4 linked regions of the Arabidopsis thaliana genome follow. The protein of the gene in region 4 interacts with the protein of the main gene of each other region in a pairwise test. Each region holds a gene or a part of one and is shown on either strand. Other genes may lie near its edges. The genes, in order: SEP2, RSL1, RSL2 and AT1G68240.

Region 1 (5,004 bases), on a different chromosome or scaffold from region 4:
TAGCAGATAGTGTGAACCTCTCAAATGCTTCAGAGATTCAAGATGTTGCATTCAGAATGGGATCCGAAGCTTTAGCCCGCCTCTGCGAAAGACTGAGGTAAGCAAAGTTGAAGTTCTTGGACAAACTTCTTCATTACCCCTTAAACTTTGAAACTTAGAAAGAATCCAAGTCAAGTAAAGCTAAACAATGCGACTTGATGTGTTTCAGGGAGCAGTTACTTGATGGGGACTTTACTAATGGGGAAGAAGTATATTAAAAAGCACAATCCCCAAACTCCGAAACAATTTAGTATTGTTGGAAGTTATTACAATTGGTCCTATATTATTGAGAAATTGAAGAATGTAGCAAACCAGAAATTACATTCTTCAGCAGAACTCTCTGTATCATTTAACTTTTCAGGACAGATTTCATTACTTGTCCTGCCTCTGTAAGATCCAGATATTGTAATTATATGTTCTGTACACTAGAATCGAAAATAAAAGCTACATCTTGGTGGCATTGTGATCTGTTGAATGTCACTGTTAACTTGAGAGTTTATATGCCTTTGTCACAAGCTGTGTTTGCGATTGCGGTTAGCATCTAACCACGTCTTTTTGTATCATGCATAGACAGGATAAGTACTTCACCAGATGAGACATGGTCGATGTTAACATTTCACACATTATACAAACCATACATATATAAGCAATTACAATAGGCACAAACAAATCCTGAAACAGAAGAGAGATGTTGAAGGCTATTACAGCTATAGCCACTTGTGTCTACAAAAGCAAAAGTCTTGTGCAATAACATTATTATTCATATGCATAAGATCTAAGATCACACCACGAAGACCCCACCAGTACTTGCTTAAGATCTTTATTGGGGGAAGAAGTATCGCTCACAGCATCCAGCCAGGGATGTAGCCGTTTCCTTGTTGGGACTGACCTTGCACCGTCACAGCCATTTGCTCTGAGCACACTGGATGGCTATATCTGTTTGCAACACCACAACAACATAGTTTCGAAGTCAACAATAGAAACCCACATTTTCAAGTCTGAGATATTGATTTTCCATACTTCAGACATCAAAGTGCTGAATCCTTAGACTAAACAACACGAGTTTTAACCAAAGCCTCTATGAAACAAAGACAATGTTGGGCTTAAAGCAAACTGCTAACTGTTTATAACCTAAGTTGATGTCTTAAGGCAAGAAAAGTTGTTTGATTTACCCAATTTGCAAAGTGGGATCACATTCAAGAGATTGGTATAGTCCCTGAGAATGAGCCTGAGGATGTCCATAGGCAATATTCTGTTGATCACCACCTTCCCATCCTCCTCCTATATGGTGATGTCTCACGCCGATCATATCTTCCAGCTAAACAAAACACAATATTTTTCAAACTTTCCTGAAGATATCATAGAAATAATACAAAAGAAACATGTAGCAGTTGAAGAATGTGAAATTTAGACTCATATATATAAATTGGACTATTTAAAGTTTCCATCTATAAATAGAAACTGGAGGAGAGAGAGAGAAACATCATCATATACCTTCATTGACAAAGCTCTGTTGGCATCAAGCAAGATATGCTCCTTACCTTGAAGATCAGAGAGCTGGTCAAGCATATACTGTGTCTGCAAAAAAGAAGAGGCATTTTCAGATAACCTCACGCATCAAAAACATTTCATGCATGTGTCTCAGTCTATATATAGAGAAAGATTTGTGTGAATCTTTCAGTGTATGTACAGAAGTAAATCACCTTGATGCAGCGAACTTGCTTCAGAGAGCCGTCTAGTTGACGCTCAAGCTGCTCTAGCTCCTTTGAATTCAGAGGTCCAAGATCCTCTCCAAGAAGATTTCTGCAGCAACACACTTTCATGATCAATACAAACTATATATATATATATATATATATATATATATGCTGTTTATAAATGATCATCATCCACATTAATGTATATACCTCTGCTGACGTTGCAGATTTTCATATCTACCTTTCAGCTTCAAGTACTCTCTGTAGCTGTTCTGAAAATTGCGAAGATAATAGACAATTGAATATCTATGTAAGAAACTTTGAAGGGCTTTTGTCTCAAAATCAAACATTTTCTTTAGATAAAATTAAAAAAGGATAAATAATTAAGATCGAAGAGATGTTGGAGATTAAACCTCAAGCTCTTTAGCAGGTTTGTTGTTGACTTCAATGGAGCCATAGCTACACTTCTGATACCTTTCCAGTGTCTTGAGCATGCTGAAAGATCAAAAAACACAAATCAGGAGAAGAAGAATCTATAAATTTAATGAACAAACTAAAATTTTAAAAACTAACAAAAGAAAATTTATAAAAAGAAGATCCCTTAATTAAAAAGATATTAAATTCATGTGGTGCTTAAATGTCTGCATGAGCTTTAATTAGACTGGTTAATGCATGGAACCACTAATTATTCTACGTTGGATCTTTTAAATTTCATTGAAGACTGTGAATCTTTAGTTTACTTTACCAAGTTCTAATCACATATATATCCGTGTAGAGACAATGAAATTACATGATAATAATAGTATATCATTATGATACTTTCCTAGCTCCGATAAATCTAAAAATAGATTGCAATTAAATCCCTAAGAATTTGACATGATGATTAAATTAAGATCAGATCTCGAAATTCAATCACTTGAAAGTACTGAATTATTCTTCTATAATCAAAACCTAATTAGAGATCAGATTAAGAAACTGAAAATATATCAAGTATTTTGTTAAAAAGCAATCAAGAAAGATAAAACTCATCACAAGACTAGAAAAATGAAAGATCTACACACAGATCTAATAAGTGTATAAAGAAAGAGAAGTACTTGGAGGTGCTGCAGAACTCGTAGAGCTTGCCACGGTTGGAGAAGACGATGAGAGAGACTTCAGCATCGCAGAGAACAGAAAGCTCATAAGCTTTTTTCAGCAAACCATTTCTACGTTTAGCAAACGTCACTTGTCTGTTGATTTTGTTCTCTATCCTCTTGAGCTCTACTCTTCCTCTTCCCATCTTTCCTCACCCCAAAAAATCCCTATCTTATTTTCCCTCTTTTATAGCTATTTGTGTAACCTTATTAGGGTATGTAATGTTTTATCTATATACAGACACACAGAAACATGACTTGGGTATTGCTTTTTCTGGGGAAAGATCTTATCTTTTGGTGAAGTAAACCCTAGTTTTCAAGAACAAGAAAAGAAGAGGAATAGCTAGAGAGAAAACTTTAATTAGCTTTCTTTGGTTTTTTTGGTTGTGATTTGATATTAGGGCTCTTGTTTATTCTTTAGATCTTTTCTCTTTTTGAAGGGTTGTGATGAGATTGTGAATCTGAAGAAAAGTTTTTGTGAATCTATAAAAGCTATAAAGATAAGAAAATTTGTGAGGGTGAGAGATCATTAGGGTTTGGTGATACAATATCTCTCTCTCTACTTCTTTACTCTTTCTCTCTCTTCCATCTTTTACACAGAAAGTAAAAAACATTCTCACACCTTCTCTCCCAAGTGCGTGCCACGCAGACACCATTATTTGCCATGAGTAGTTAGTTGCTAGTTGCTACTAATTAAGAAAAATGAATTAAGTTTTTAAAACAAACGTTGTCTAGTTATATAATCCATGTCCATATACATCTAGATATATGACTTAGATACCAATGTTTCGACTCTTTTAGGTCTACACGTACGTTGCCCAAACTTCATATTTGAGACATCTTTATTTATTTGTCAACAGAAATATTGAAACATGCATGGATCTTGATATTCTAAAGGTGCCTGAATTAAAATAGAACGATAACGTTTTAAAACCTAATTCCCAATTTGTAGTTTATATATTTCTTGTTTGATCCATATTATTACAAGCCTATATATAGTGTATATAAAACTCAATTAAGCTTCAAAAAGTCAGAAAACTCATCAATAGCTCAAGTTCCACTAATTAATGCCCGAATTTAAAGTTCATCTCTATAGTTTAAAATTTGTTCGTAGCTAGATTTTGCATCTTGGAGTGGTTAGTTATGTTTATTAGACACTTGGAATGCTTTTGAATGTACAATGTCCGGAAAAAAAAACTAATACTGAAAAGGGGATTTGTCCAAGTGGTGGTAGATAGGAGGAGGCGCGTGAGATTGGGGAAACATTGGTTTCTTCTGCAATGAATGAAACGAAAGCAGCTATCATCATTTTCTTTTTCTTACTTCACAAGCCGCAGAAAAGCCTCTCCTACCTTAAAATGGACATGTACGTGTCGCTTTTCTATTGCTTCCTATCTATTCGACAACATTGAAGTTTTGTTCTATTACTTTCGTATTCAATTTTTAATTTTTGTTTGAGAATACCAATTTTGTTTTGGATCTAAACTCGTTCTAATGTAAAAAATAATAATCAGCCGCAGTATATCAATATGTTACATTGTATCTGGACGTGGGATATCTGACCATGTCTCCATGAATCCATGATGATTGACAGATTTATAGGGATAAGTATCCTGGTTTAGGTAATCCATAAGTATTTATGAATATTATGAAAATAAATTTTGATCAGAAAGATTAATTAGTTAAGACTATGATGTAGGGTATTTTAAAATATTGCTAAAAATTTTGCGCGCTTTCAGTATGTATATTTATTTTACTAGTTTTCGGTTGATATATGATTTCTTGAAGTAATTAAGGTTATTAGCTAAATGGAAGAGAACGTGAGGAATATAACACATATGTGATCACATACGAATATATGTAGGTTTAACTTAATTGGTTCGTTGATTATTCTTTATAAAAGTGAAAGTAGATTTAAATTTGTTTTCCAATCTTCTATGTTTGGCCATTGTTTGCAAGAGTTTTGGGAATTAAAGTCTTTTTAGGTGAGACCAAGAAGGGTAAAATATGAGTTTTTGGGTCTAGAATTTATAAGTTAAATAGTTTATTCTCATTTCTAATTATTGTTGACCAAAAAAAAAAAAAACTGTTTGGTTTTGAGGTTTAATTACTTATTGTATATGTACACTCTCAAT
Region 2 (4,163 bases), on a different chromosome or scaffold from region 4:
TTTTGGACAAAATATTACATACCCTATCTAAAAGTACAAAAATAGAACTATACCTCTAGGGTATACCCCTTGGTTAGGTACATATATAACATTCAAAACATACTTCGGCAAGGATACATCATACATATATACTATGTAACATTACTATTATTAGTTTATTTTTAACGAACAAAAGTGCAGAAATGGACGTAAGCTAAACAGTCACAACTGAAAAAATAAATTTAAAAGGGTTTTAAGGAGGATTTAAGTTTTAATTTCTAATGAAATAGTTGATTTTTTCGTTGCCTTACTGCATCGTATGTAGAAATATAGACATTCATAATAAATATTTTTTGTCTTTTAATTACTAAGAGGTTCGGATCTAGGTCTGTTTCTCGGGTAGGAAACCATAACATTTAATATAGTTTCCCCTTAAATGTTATTCGTATCAGTGACTTCTAAACTTTGCATAGATGTATTATCGATTAAGCTATTAACACTTAATTACATGCATAATATCTCAAAACTTAACAACACTTAGTTCAATTCATGAAAACATTTTATAAAAGATATCTTAAAGTAAAACTCAGAAACCAAACTTTTGCAACATCACATTACGCATACTTGGAGAATTACAAAACATACAAAAATAGAAACATACCTCCACATATATAACTATTACATATCTAATCTACTATAAGATTCCATGCTCGTGTGGACCGACGTCTGACATATCGTCGGTGACTTCAATGTGTTGGCTCTTACATAATTAAAGCCTTAAAGGAATCAATAACTTCTCGATCTGTAACGTCACCAATTAACTATTTTTTAAACCGAATTCAAAAGTGATGACTTGTTTGGTATTATAATTAATGCCGATACATTTAGTAACTAATTATTCTGCTATACTTTTTGTTTTGGTCGGAATTATTCTGCTATACTTGTTTCTCTAGTTGAGTTACTATCTCGTTGTGATGATGAGAGGATTGCGTCAATAGCTTCTTTAACTTGAGAAATGTCCGGAGCTTTCCCTCCTTGTGCCGGCCAAAACTCATCGGCTGCAAGTACCTATAAAAAGACATAGTTTTTTTGTTTATATCAATATACTTGAAAGACCCTACTTATATATGACATAGTATGATATATAGTTGACGGAATGTTTGTTAAGATTAATTACCTTAACTTGTACTTGAAGAAACTTTACATAGCCAATTGCTTTCTCAAGCATAGTTACCAAATCCACCTACATAAAAACCACCATAAAGATTTTAAAAAAAAAAATTAGTACAGAAAAATATTTATTACGCTCTAGGTTTGAAAAAAAAGGTTACGATAAAATTAAATTTCTTATACATTTATCATACCTTGGTACCATTCGGTACAAGTTCTTGCAATACCTTGAGGCGTTCGCTTATCCTTTCTCTTCGGTTCTATACAAGAAACATATTTTCGTATTGGTTAATTTATTGACAAAAGCACATATATATTTCTTAATTTCCTTGACTTAAATCCAAAAAGAGAACCCTGACAATAAATGTTGATGAATAGAAAAAACGCAAACCTTGGCTGCTAGGCTTTGTGGATCTTTAGGTGAAGTTGTTGCCTTAGGCTTGATCTTTCCATTCGTACCGCTACTCGGCTTCTTTGAAAGTTGTGTGTTCTCTCCCTATCGATCATTAGATGGTAAACTTTAAACATCTTTGATTGATCTAAATGATATATGAAAAAGACAAATCACAAATCTTAAATTTATAGTTACCGTGAAAGGCCGTTTATTGCCAGCCAGTTTAGGGGACGTGGACTCGTGCCTTGAACCGATGTTTACAATAGTTGAACCAGAGTATAACCAGTCTCCATTTCCATGGTTTGTGGCCGGTTTACTCATGGAGTTTGAAGTCAATCCAAAACTGCTCGTTGTTTCAAAGCTATTTGGAGTTTTGATGACTCTAGGGCTAATACTATCCACTTGATGATGACTCCAGCCATCATAGCTGTAACTCATGTTCCCGTCCACGACCGGGAAGGCACCACCGTTGGTCACGGGAGAGATAAGGCTTCGGTGATTATCAAAGGTGAAGAATGATGAAGCATTGAAATCCATCAAAGAATTATGATCTTCAATGGTTTCCCCGGAAGGGTAAAACACAAACCCTTGATTATTTTGATGATCAGAATTTATGGTGCTACTGCTTGAAGCTGAAGCTCCTTCGTCTAATCCGCAATTCTGTGGTGAAGAGAGATCTTCTGAAGAATTTGGGGTTGAGATGTAATTACGCTCATTGCAATGTTCGTTAATGAGTGACATTGGTACTAAAGGGTGTTCTAGTGAGATGTATGGGGTTTCTTTTTTATGTCTTTGGTTTTGCTTTGAGAGGTTAAGGAGATTTGAGAAATCGAAACAACGAAAAATGGTTTTAAGATTGTAGATTGGTAAGCAAAGAGAGACAATGTTTGTGTAGTTATGTTATCATAAAGGTTTATATAGGCGGTTCTTACTAATATTAAATGATGACATTTAGATGTAGTTTTATTTTTGTTTGTTATAATATTTTAAGAGAGGAAGCTGGCATGAGATCAAAATAGATATTGCTCGAGTCTATTAATTTTATCAGTCGAAGTCATTATGAATGTAGAGAGATTTAATCAATACACATGCAAGTACACTTTTTATAATTTAAAAGTAATTTTTTAACTAGCAAATTTGATTACCGTTTTAGAATAACTCTTTAGTTTACAAAAACATTCAACTTATTTTTATTTAGGAAAATAATCACTCAGTTTTTGAAGTGAAACTGCAAAGAAATGAACACCTCTAATAAGTCACCTTAATTCTCACTTCGTATCCATCTTATGAAATTATGTCTTTTCTCTACCACCATATATGAAATTATATATCTCTTCCTCTCCAATAAATGAATTAGGATATATTTCAACAATATAACTAATAAGACATCCATATTATGCTACAAATTAATCTAGAGAATGTACCTCCAAGATCATTCATGAAATATATAAACTCATTTATTTCAACTGTAAATATCCTAGAGTAAGAAATTAGATTATGTTTGGTCTTACGGGTGGAAAACATTATAAGAAAGGTTAAACTGAAATCAAAATTTATTATTAAGCATAAGAAAATTTGCATACTTGATTCGTTTAGTTTTTATTCTTCTATTTTTGATGACTACAATCTCTTCATAATCAAATTTAACAGAAGACACACAACAAAATTGCAAACCGATTAGACAGACCAAAACAAACACATGTGGCAGATGTTGGAGTGATATGTCACTTATAAGAAGAAAGTTTGCTAACTTTCATATATATGATTTTTCTTACTCTTTGCTTTTAAAAAAAAATATTTGAACGATTATATTGTGTGTTTTTTTAATGTGAACAATTATATTATTTTCGTGAGAGCTTTAACAATATAGATAAGGTGAAACGCCATAATTTTAAATTTAAACAAAAACTAAACCCTAAATCAAAAATACTAAACCCAAACCCAAGTTTTCAAATCTTAAAGTCTTCATTTTTTTTAAATTGTTTTTTTGTGTTTTTGTGGTATTTTTGAAATTTTAGAGATGATATGCTAAATTTGGAAATATTTGTGAGAATTGCCCTAAAAATGGTTTCGGTTTAGTTAAGTTGAATCAATTCGGGGGTGTAGGGTTTGTTTAAATCTACATAAAGCTGTCCGATCATAAATTAGGATACCTTTGTTATTTAAAAAAAATATATACATCATAAGCATGGATACAATTTTTAAGAAAATCATTTGTAAAGTATTTTAAATATTAATGGATGCTGATGTATGGAAGCAATTAATGAATGTGGTTCCAAGTTTATTAATTACAAATTACAATAATAATACTATTAGCTAATATGATCTCTCATTGGGATTGTTAGCTGGCAGTAGTGAAATTAATGGACTGGGAGACTTTGTAAAACATAAATAAATGAGACCCCTAAATAAATCTACAAAGATAGAAAAATTAAAGAAATTTGAGCTTGAAATAACTAAAGAAGCAAAAGCATCGCCGTATCTTCCGCTAATCTTCACGTCGTTTTTATTCTCATTTTAGTGTATTCGATAAAGACTATATTTTTCCACTTCATTTTCTATTCTGAAGAAGAAACGAACTCAAATCTCGCAATCTTTTTTATTTGCTGTTTATTTAACA
Region 3 (4,317 bases), on a different chromosome or scaffold from region 4:
TTCATTCTCATGAACTCTTTATTTTCTGCTACACAGTTATTTTATCCATGGAACTTGACAACTTAAGCAACCAAAGACTTCGCGATTCTTATTTTAATATAAAATAACTACTAAGTTGTCAAGGGCGTTAGAGGAAGAGCTTTTGTGTTCTTAGTTTCGTAAATTAGATGGTTAATTTTTAAATGTTTCATCAAAAACACAATATCAAAAGAAAATAATAATAAATTTAAACAATATATGTAGATTAAAACTTCAAATCACAAAATAGATGGGAAAAAACCGGCCGGTTTTTGGGTCACTACAAGTTGGCGTTTTTCAAAGTATAGGCTTGATTTGTCATTTGTTTCTAATTTCGCATCAACTTGACCTAAAAGTGAATTACGCTTAATGTCGAAATATTCCATTCCTTAGTTTATTTCGGTTTTGATATAATAATTACAACTAAAAATTAGGATAATCCAAGTATTGTCATAATACACAAACTGACAAACGCAATAATTTTCTCTCGTAAGTCGTCGTACCTCTTTAATCCGTTATTGATTGGTTCAAGGTTAGATTTTTACATGATTTAATCATCGAATAGACGAGAAATATGTCTAGCCGTCTAGGTCCATAGAGTATGCATCATTTTGTAATCTATTTTAATCACATTAGCACATAAATCTAGTCAGTGCATATTCGAAAAAAAACACAGCTGACAACAAATATAGAAATTGAAAAAAAATGTAAAAGTAGAAAGAGACAATGTACATAAATCTATATCTTTGTGTTTGTGTTGTATAGGTATTCAGTATTCTAGTTAGATAATTTCTCTTTAGAAGTCGTATAGCATATGGATATGCTTCTATCTAAATATAATATATTTGAAATTTGTAAGGATTTTGGATAAGTTTTGATTTTTTTTTCTAGTCAGCGGGTGAGTGGGAAAATATCATTCTTTCTACTCAGACCCAATAGTTTCTCGATTGTTTGTTACTTTGTAAAGTAAAAAATGCTTAATACTTTAATGCGTTGTATAATTATGCAGAATTTTAGTTTAAGCTATAAATTATAATACACTTATAGCTAATCAATATATAGGAATATTCTTACTATATGTAGAATATTGGAGAATTTTTTTTTTTACTATTAAAATAAAAATAAGTCTTGCTTATATCATGGCAGGTTGAACTATATGGGGACCTAACTACATGTCATTAGGGGAAAAACATTCATATCATAGGTATCATATGACGTTATGATATGAAGTTTTTTTTAAGGTGGATCAACACTTGTGAATTGTATTTACTCGATACTCAACATCAAAACTCGCGATCTCAACGGATTGGCGCAATTAGAAAGCAGTTTATGGGGTCTAACCGTAAGTTCAGTGTTCCCAAGAATTTGAATCATAGTTGTGTGCAAAAAAACTCATTAATATAAACTATACGTTCATGAGTTTTTAACACATCTACTATTTCATCGAGTGAGTTTGCAAAAAACACTTTTGCTAAGAAATCTGTTTATCTCTTATTACTCGGATGCTAACGAAACATGGAAGTCGATAAAATTATAATGAGCTAAGCTAAGAGCTCTTCCAATTTTGATCCTAAATATGCAGTGAATACGGCCACCACAATCATTTCTCATATGAACTAGTATATCAACCAACTATAATCTTGTTTTTAACTTAAAACGATGTATTTAACATATATAAGTGAAGCCATTAACAAGCAGAAATGCAGAATCATAAACGACAAACGACAAATATATATTAAACTTAATGTTCGATGACCAAGTTGCAGAGAGCCCACCATAATTAGCTGTCCATATCTAATGGTATCCCAGACTTGGTTATTTACAAATTAATTAGAAAGATGATTAACTAGTGTCATTATGTGTTGACATTTATTTATCCACTATCTCTCATGTTCTCTATATATACATTCCAACTCCTCTTCCTCATTCCCTCACTTCTCACAAGACTTCCAACTAACAATCTTCTTAATTAAGATTAATCTCTTAATTAAGACGCTTAGTTAACAAAACATATAAAAATGGAAGCCATGGGAGAATGGAGCAACAACCTCGGAGGAATGTACACTTATGCAACCGAGGAAGCCGATTTCATGAACCAGCTTCTCGCCTCTTATGATCATCCTGGCACCGGCTCATCCTCCGGCGCAGCAGCCAGTGGTGACCACCAAGGCTTGTATTGGAACCTTGGTTCTCATCACAACCACCTTAGCCTCGTGTCTGAAGCCGGTAGCTTCTGTTTCTCTCAAGAGAGCAGCAGCTACAGCGCTGGGAACAGCGGATATTACACCGTTGTTCCACCCACGGTTGAAGAGAACCAAAATGAGACAATGGACTTTGGGATGGAAGATGTGACCATCAATACAAACTCATACCTTGTTGGTGAGGAGACAAGTGAGTGTGACGTTGAGAAATACTCTTCTGGAAAGACTCTTATGCCTTTGGAAACCGTAGTGGAGAACCACGATGACGAGGAAAGCTTGTTGCAATCTGAGATCTCTGTGACTACTACAAAATCTCTCACCGGCTCCAAAAAGAGATCCCGTGCCACATCTACTGATGTAAGTCTTTAATTTTCGAACTGGTTGGCAATTAGCTAGAGAGATCACATTTGGTTTAGTGACTAATATAGAAACGGTTTGCCATGGACTCAGAAAAACAAGAGAGCAAGAGTGAATAAGAGGGCCCAGAAGAACGTAGAGATGAGTGGGGATAACAATGAAGGAGAAGAGGAAGAAGGAGAGACGAAGTTGAAGAAAAGAAAGAATGGGGCAATGATGAGTAGACAGAACTCAAGCACCACTTTCTGTACGGAGGAAGAATCAAACTGCGCTGATCAAGACGGTGGAGGAGAAGACTCATCCTCTAAGGAAGATGATCCCTCAAAGGCCCTCAACCTCAATGGTAAAACAAGAGCCAGTCGTGGTGCAGCCACCGATCCTCAAAGCCTCTATGCAAGGGTAAATTGCTTTGTTTGTTTCCCACAAAAAAGATAAAATATCAAATTTTTATGGAAGATTATGTTTCAAAAAATTAATTTGGTTTTTTATTATTTTTTTGTCGTGCAGAAAAGAAGAGAAAGGATTAACGAGAGACTAAGGATTTTACAAAATCTCGTCCCCAATGGAACAAAGGTAAAAAAAAAAACTCATGCAAACGTTTAAACATGCAGAAGATATGGCTCTTTTACATGCAAATTCATTAATTATACAAGAAATTGTTAATAAAGATTCTAAACATTTACAATTGCTTAAATACGTAACAGGTCGATATTAGTACAATGCTTGAGGAAGCAGTTCATTACGTCAAATTTTTGCAGCTCCAAATTAAGGTAAGCAAGGGTTTTAAATACAAATCGTTTTTTTTTTGTACGTTCAATTGTTATATGAATATGATCTAACTAATATTTTAAAATATAATTACGCAGTTATTGAGCTCTGATGATCTATGGATGTATGCGCCGATTGCTTTCAATGGGATGGACATTGGTCTCAGCTCACCGAGATGAAGCAGAAAACTTGTGATTTTAGTTGGATATTTTCTCTTATATATAACCAAAAATGTAATATTCTTTTTCTTTTTTAATATTCTCCGCCTTCGGACGAGTTCGATTATAAATTCTCGTACGATGTTCAAATATGAGAGAAATGGAGAGTCACGTTCGATTTTTTTTATACTTTCATTTTCTTTTATATCACATATTTACATTTCAATTCTTATGTTTCATCTGTTCAATCGATAGTTTTAATACTTATCAGGATCATAAGATCTATACCTTAAACAGTTTACACTCAATCTGATCACCGTTTTATTTAATGATCAAGGGACATATATGATTATTTTTAATCTGATCACCGTTCGAAGAATACCTAATGAATGGAGAGTTATTATTATAATATTAAAATAAAAAATAAAAAATGAAGAGGTCTGACAAACGAATGAAGAAAGGTCTGACAAAAGAGGTAATAGTTGAAAATGTGAATGTGCTAATAATAACTTAACAAAGTAACTTCTATTTAAGAAATGTGAATGTACATCATTTTGGTTGAAATGTGTGTGATATTTAATATTTAGGCGGAATTTGTTTTCATTTTTTTTAGGCTTAATTAAAATGGTAAGTTCATTCCAAAGAAAATCCTTTTTCACTAGGAGTAAAACCCTATTTTACAAAATTAGTTGTGATGCGAAAAACAAATGCTCATCAATTAATCAATGCACTCATTTGTGAAGGATGAAATATCAAATATGACCACTTAAAAACTTCGGCCGCAACATTTTCTTTCTCACACGTATATTCATGAA
Region 4 (3,837 bases):
ATCTTTTTTTTGGTGACTTCTGACTCGAAAACGCAAAACCACACATTTGAAAATATGCCAATTACAACTCTCTTTATCAACTAGTCTCAACAATTGTCACAAAGCGATGCACAAAAACTCTTTCAATGGTGAGAGGAGAACTCGCGGTAATAGCGGCGGGTAATGGTGAAGTCTCACTCTACATTTGGGCAGCTGTTGTGGCTTTCTCCGTCATAGCAGCCGTGATTTTCTCATGCAGTGACCGAGCTTCTAAACCTCACACTAACGACGATGTCAATGGATCCAGTTGCGCCGCTGGCTGCGGTGGTGGTTGTGGAGGTTAAACGGGAAGCATTTTTTGTTTACTTTAGTAACATTTAAAGATAAAACTATTTTGGCTTCTTGCTTTAATAAAAAAAGTTAAAGTGTGTAGATAATTTGTAGCCAATGAATGTATTCTGCTTCTTGAATTTAACATTTTAGTGATCTAGTTCGTTTTCTATGATTCAAGATAAAAATTATCAAACTAGGGTTGTAGTAATGTTTGGTACAAACGTACTATTACACGTAACATAACATCTTTGTTGTTTATTTAACTTACATTCAACAAAGAAAAAGGTTGAGCAAAACAGAACATAAATAACAGAGGAACAATGCTCAACCAAAACAGAACATAAAAAACAGGTGTTTTTACATATTGTGGCATCAAACTAAAAGTTATACATAAAACTACGTATGTATTTATGTATCTATGTACATATCTTAGTTTACAAAGACAGTCTATATAAACAGCAACGAGTCTAAAGCCGGAGGGTCTTAAAAAGCCACATAGCTAGAGCTTGTTTTAAGGTTGAGTTTGATTTGGCGGCACTGTTCCATATACCTGTGATAAAAGATTGATGGCAGAAATCAGAATCTGTGGAATCAGATTAAACTTTAATTTGATCAAACCTGAGGATATTGCGGGATATAGGTCATGTTTTGCTGAGGCATCATTGGAACTCCTGGCGTATAATAGCCCCAAGGAGACATACATGGTGCTTGAGCTGCTGCATAAAATGGTGGTGTGTAAACCGGAGTTGTTGTGTATGCCATTGACATAACCTGGACCACATCCACATAACACATAAGAACATATATACTCTAATGGATACAAGTAACTAAATTAAATTAGATATAGTTTAATGCTTACATCTACTTGATATTTCAAACTTTTAATGTATTCAATGATGTTTTCAAGCTTCGATGCAAGGTCCGGCTGTAGATAAACACACAAGAAACTCGATATTCGAAACTTGATATTGTATTAGACTCTAATATATAAAAAATATGGAGTAAATTAAGTAATAGTTAACCTTTGTGCAATGATTAGGCATCAACCCCTGCAAAATATCTACTTTATCTTTGATCTCCTTTCGTCTTTTCTACAAAGTTTAGAAAGCAAAAATATAAATTAGCTAGGGAATCACGTAAGAGAAGAAGGAGATTAAGTCATCTTCACCTTCTCCATCATCATACGATATTCCATGGAACGTTGCCGTTTAGCCATACGGTAACTTTCCTCGTCTGGCTCCTCGTCGTGTTTCTCATGATCATTGTTTTTGGTAACACCGAATATCTCTTGCAAAGGGTTTAATTCACTATGATTTTCTGAACAAAACGAATAAATAATATCAGAAAGCGAACATTGCTCTTCTTCGTGAGTCCCCTCGTTGCGGTTGTTTCTCTCCATTGATGATTGACTAAATTGAGGATTTTGAGTTTGTTAAAGAGTGAAAAGTGGAGGGTTAAGGATAAACTAGTTAGTTCAGCCATAAGCTATATATATATAGGGGAGATACAAGAAGCTTCTTTTGAAAGTTCCAACAATTGAGCGGGAAGCAAAGAAGATGATTTTGCTTCGTCCCATGGTTTTCTCTAACAATTTATTTACTCATTTTCCATTATATTATTATATTTATGTGTTCCACATTTACGCACATCCATTAGACAGAAGAAAACATATATTTTTGTTGTTTTCTTATATTTGCTTTCTTGCTCTTTCTTGAAATTCTAAGAACGGCAGGGGAATAGTGTCATTCTTGTTCATGAACGGCAGTTCTTAATCTTTAGTATTTTATTTTTCTTCTCAAGCTAGCTATGGATACAACAAATTGCATTAAAATTGGAAAAACATTATCTAGTTGGAAAAGAGAACTGTAAAACTCCTATTACAAGTTCGAACAAAAATGACATATTTCAATATTTAAGAATTATTTATTTTGATTGAGAACAAGATAAACTTTCTATTATATCAACAACATGCATGGACATGTCCATGCAAGGGCAAGAAAATGTTTCTAGTCAGAAATTTGTTTTGACCGGCTTGTAACACTGTGCAAGCTAGCTTCTGATGTGATATTTAGAACGTACGTTTGCATATATTTATCGAGTTACGTGTCTCTTCAATACTCATACATATTTTAAGGAGTCATGCACCAAAATCTTTCATATAAACATGTGCTGATCAGAGATCTTGAACTCTCTATCGAATAGCTTCGCCATCGACCCAAATACATAAGACCGTCGTCTGATTACTTCATTGAGACGGGACGTTTTTTATAGCTAGATGTACTATTTTAATTTGGGTTATTTGTGGATACATGCACACTCTCGTTACTTCTCCTTCTTAAATAAACCTCAACCATTTCATTTTTTTCTCTCAACCATTTCATTTTTTTCTCTCAACCATTTCTTCAATATCTCGTATATATTATTTGAACAATTGGAGACAGATAGAAAAAAAAAACGGACAAGCAAAACATATTTGGTTAACCTGCCATCATATGAGCGATTTGAAAGAAAAATAATATAAAATTTCGATTGCCAAGTTTAAAACTAACATTTAATTATGAATGTTTTGGGTGCAACAATGAATATATTTTTTACACTAACATCATTATAGTAACAAATATATTTAATGTTGTAAATAGATATTTGCAATATCATTCAATTTAGTTATAAAAAAAATCATTCAATTAAATTAATTTCTTAAGTTAGTTTTTGTTAAACAATTGAATCTATAACATCATTAACTATTTGTTTTGCTCAAAGATTGAAAATAAAAACAGAAAAAAAAAATGAATTTAAGATTCTCTACAGGCCCAAACCGCGGATCAAATATCTAATATTTAAATATTTATGAAAATATTTCATTTTTAAATCTTTCTTACAAATTATAAACGTTAACGAAAAAACAAAAAAACGTTAACGAGATATGTAAGTTAAAAAAAATCACTTATATATGTTTATCATTTTAGCTACAAAGTTTTTTTTCTTTAAAACAATATTAATATAGTTTTTTTGCCAAAATAATAATATTTATATTATTTATTTTATTTTAGATATAATATAATATATTTCAACACATTTTTTGTTTATGTTCGGAACAATCCTTAGTTTCACAATATAGCTAGATTCTTCTTGGTGATTAATGTGAATTAATATATGATGTTGCGCACTAGAACTAAACACGAAAACATTGCATTTAAACAACCAAAATACTATAAGTTGTTTACGATAAACAATGTAAAACGTTACAACGTTACAGTATACTATACAACAGTGCGAAAACGTACAACAAAGAGCAAGCCACATAGTACTCCTAGTTTCAAATACAACTTGGGAGACCAACTCCTTTACATTAAACAACAAACCATATTATTAAAGAACTTGAGAGAACCGGTCTTTAATACTAAAACATGAACTGGTCTTATATACTACAGCATCTTGTAGTTTACATCGGCTTTGTCGTCTGTGGTTGATTATTGTTGTTGACTCCCTGTAAATTTTTCATTGTCAAGAAAGAACAGATAAATA

Evidence for each region.
Region 1: the proteins of AT1G68240 (region 4) and SEP2 interact in a two-hybrid assay, tested with the Arabidopsis thaliana proteins (one large-scale study listed by BioGRID).
Region 2: the proteins of AT1G68240 (region 4) and RSL1 interact in a two-hybrid assay, tested with the Arabidopsis thaliana proteins (one large-scale study listed by BioGRID).
Region 3: the proteins of AT1G68240 (region 4) and RSL2 interact in a two-hybrid assay, tested with the Arabidopsis thaliana proteins (one large-scale study listed by BioGRID).

The regions. Positions count from the first base shown.
Region 1 is NC_003074.8:463,673-468,676, forward strand, and holds SEP2 (K-box region and MADS-box transcription factor family protein), read right to left. Parts: upstream 3,480-5,004; 5' UTR 3,016-3,479; coding exon 2,831-3,015; intron 2,232-2,830; coding exon 2,150-2,231; intron 2,009-2,149; coding exon 1,947-2,008; intron 1,843-1,946; coding exon 1,743-1,842; intron 1,618-1,742; coding exon 1,534-1,617; intron 1,389-1,533; coding exon of another isoform or gene 1,358-1,388; coding exon 1,212-1,357; intron 976-1,211; coding exon 882-975; 3' UTR 607-881; downstream 1-606. Other genes in the region: AT3G02300 (Regulator of chromosome condensation (RCC1) family protein), read left to right, coding at 1-97, 209-257. UniProt on the Arabidopsis thaliana protein: Probable transcription factor. Functions with SEPALLATA1/AGL2 and SEPALLATA3/AGL9 to ensure proper development of petals, stamens and carpels and to prevent the indeterminate growth of the flower meristem.
Region 2 is NC_003076.8:15,034,318-15,038,480, reverse strand, and holds RSL1 (RHD SIX-LIKE 1), read right to left. Parts: upstream 2,416-4,163; 5' UTR 2,285-2,415; coding exon 1,739-2,284; intron 1,646-1,738; coding exon 1,541-1,645; intron 1,410-1,540; coding exon 1,344-1,409; intron 1,223-1,343; coding exon 1,157-1,222; intron 1,048-1,156; coding exon 907-1,047; 3' UTR 597-906; downstream 1-596. UniProt on the Arabidopsis thaliana protein: Transcription factor that is specifically required for the development of root hairs. Acts with RHD6 to positively regulate root hair development. Acts downstream of genes that regulate epidermal pattern formation, such as GL2.
Region 3 is NC_003075.7:16,238,772-16,243,088, reverse strand, and holds RSL2 (ROOT HAIR DEFECTIVE 6-LIKE 2), read left to right. Parts: upstream 1-1,919; 5' UTR 1,920-2,036; coding exon 2,037-2,576; intron 2,577-2,669; coding exon 2,670-2,975; intron 2,976-3,083; coding exon 3,084-3,149; intron 3,150-3,280; coding exon 3,281-3,346; intron 3,347-3,442; coding exon 3,443-3,523; 3' UTR 3,524-3,726; downstream 3,727-4,317. UniProt on the Arabidopsis thaliana protein: Transcription factor involved in the regulation of root hair elongation. Does not seem to be a direct transcriptional target of RHD6 and RSL1. Involved in the regulation of root hair elongation in response to low phosphate.
Region 4 is NC_003070.9:25,574,356-25,578,192, forward strand, and holds AT1G68240 (basic helix-loop-helix (bHLH) DNA-binding superfamily protein), read right to left. Parts: upstream 1,775-3,837; 5' UTR 1,712-1,774; coding exon 1,481-1,711; intron 1,404-1,480; coding exon 1,335-1,403; intron 1,238-1,334; coding exon 1,172-1,237; intron 1,084-1,171; coding exon 931-1,083; coding exon of another isoform or gene 925-930; exon of another isoform or gene 863-924; coding exon 824-862; 3' UTR 509-823; downstream 1-508. Other genes in the region: AT1G68238 (uncharacterized protein), read left to right, coding at 126-323. UniProt on the Arabidopsis thaliana protein: Transcription factor involved in somatic embryogenesis. Acts as a positive regulator of somatic embryo formation. Acts as a positive regulator of ECP63 by targeting its promoter and inducing its expression.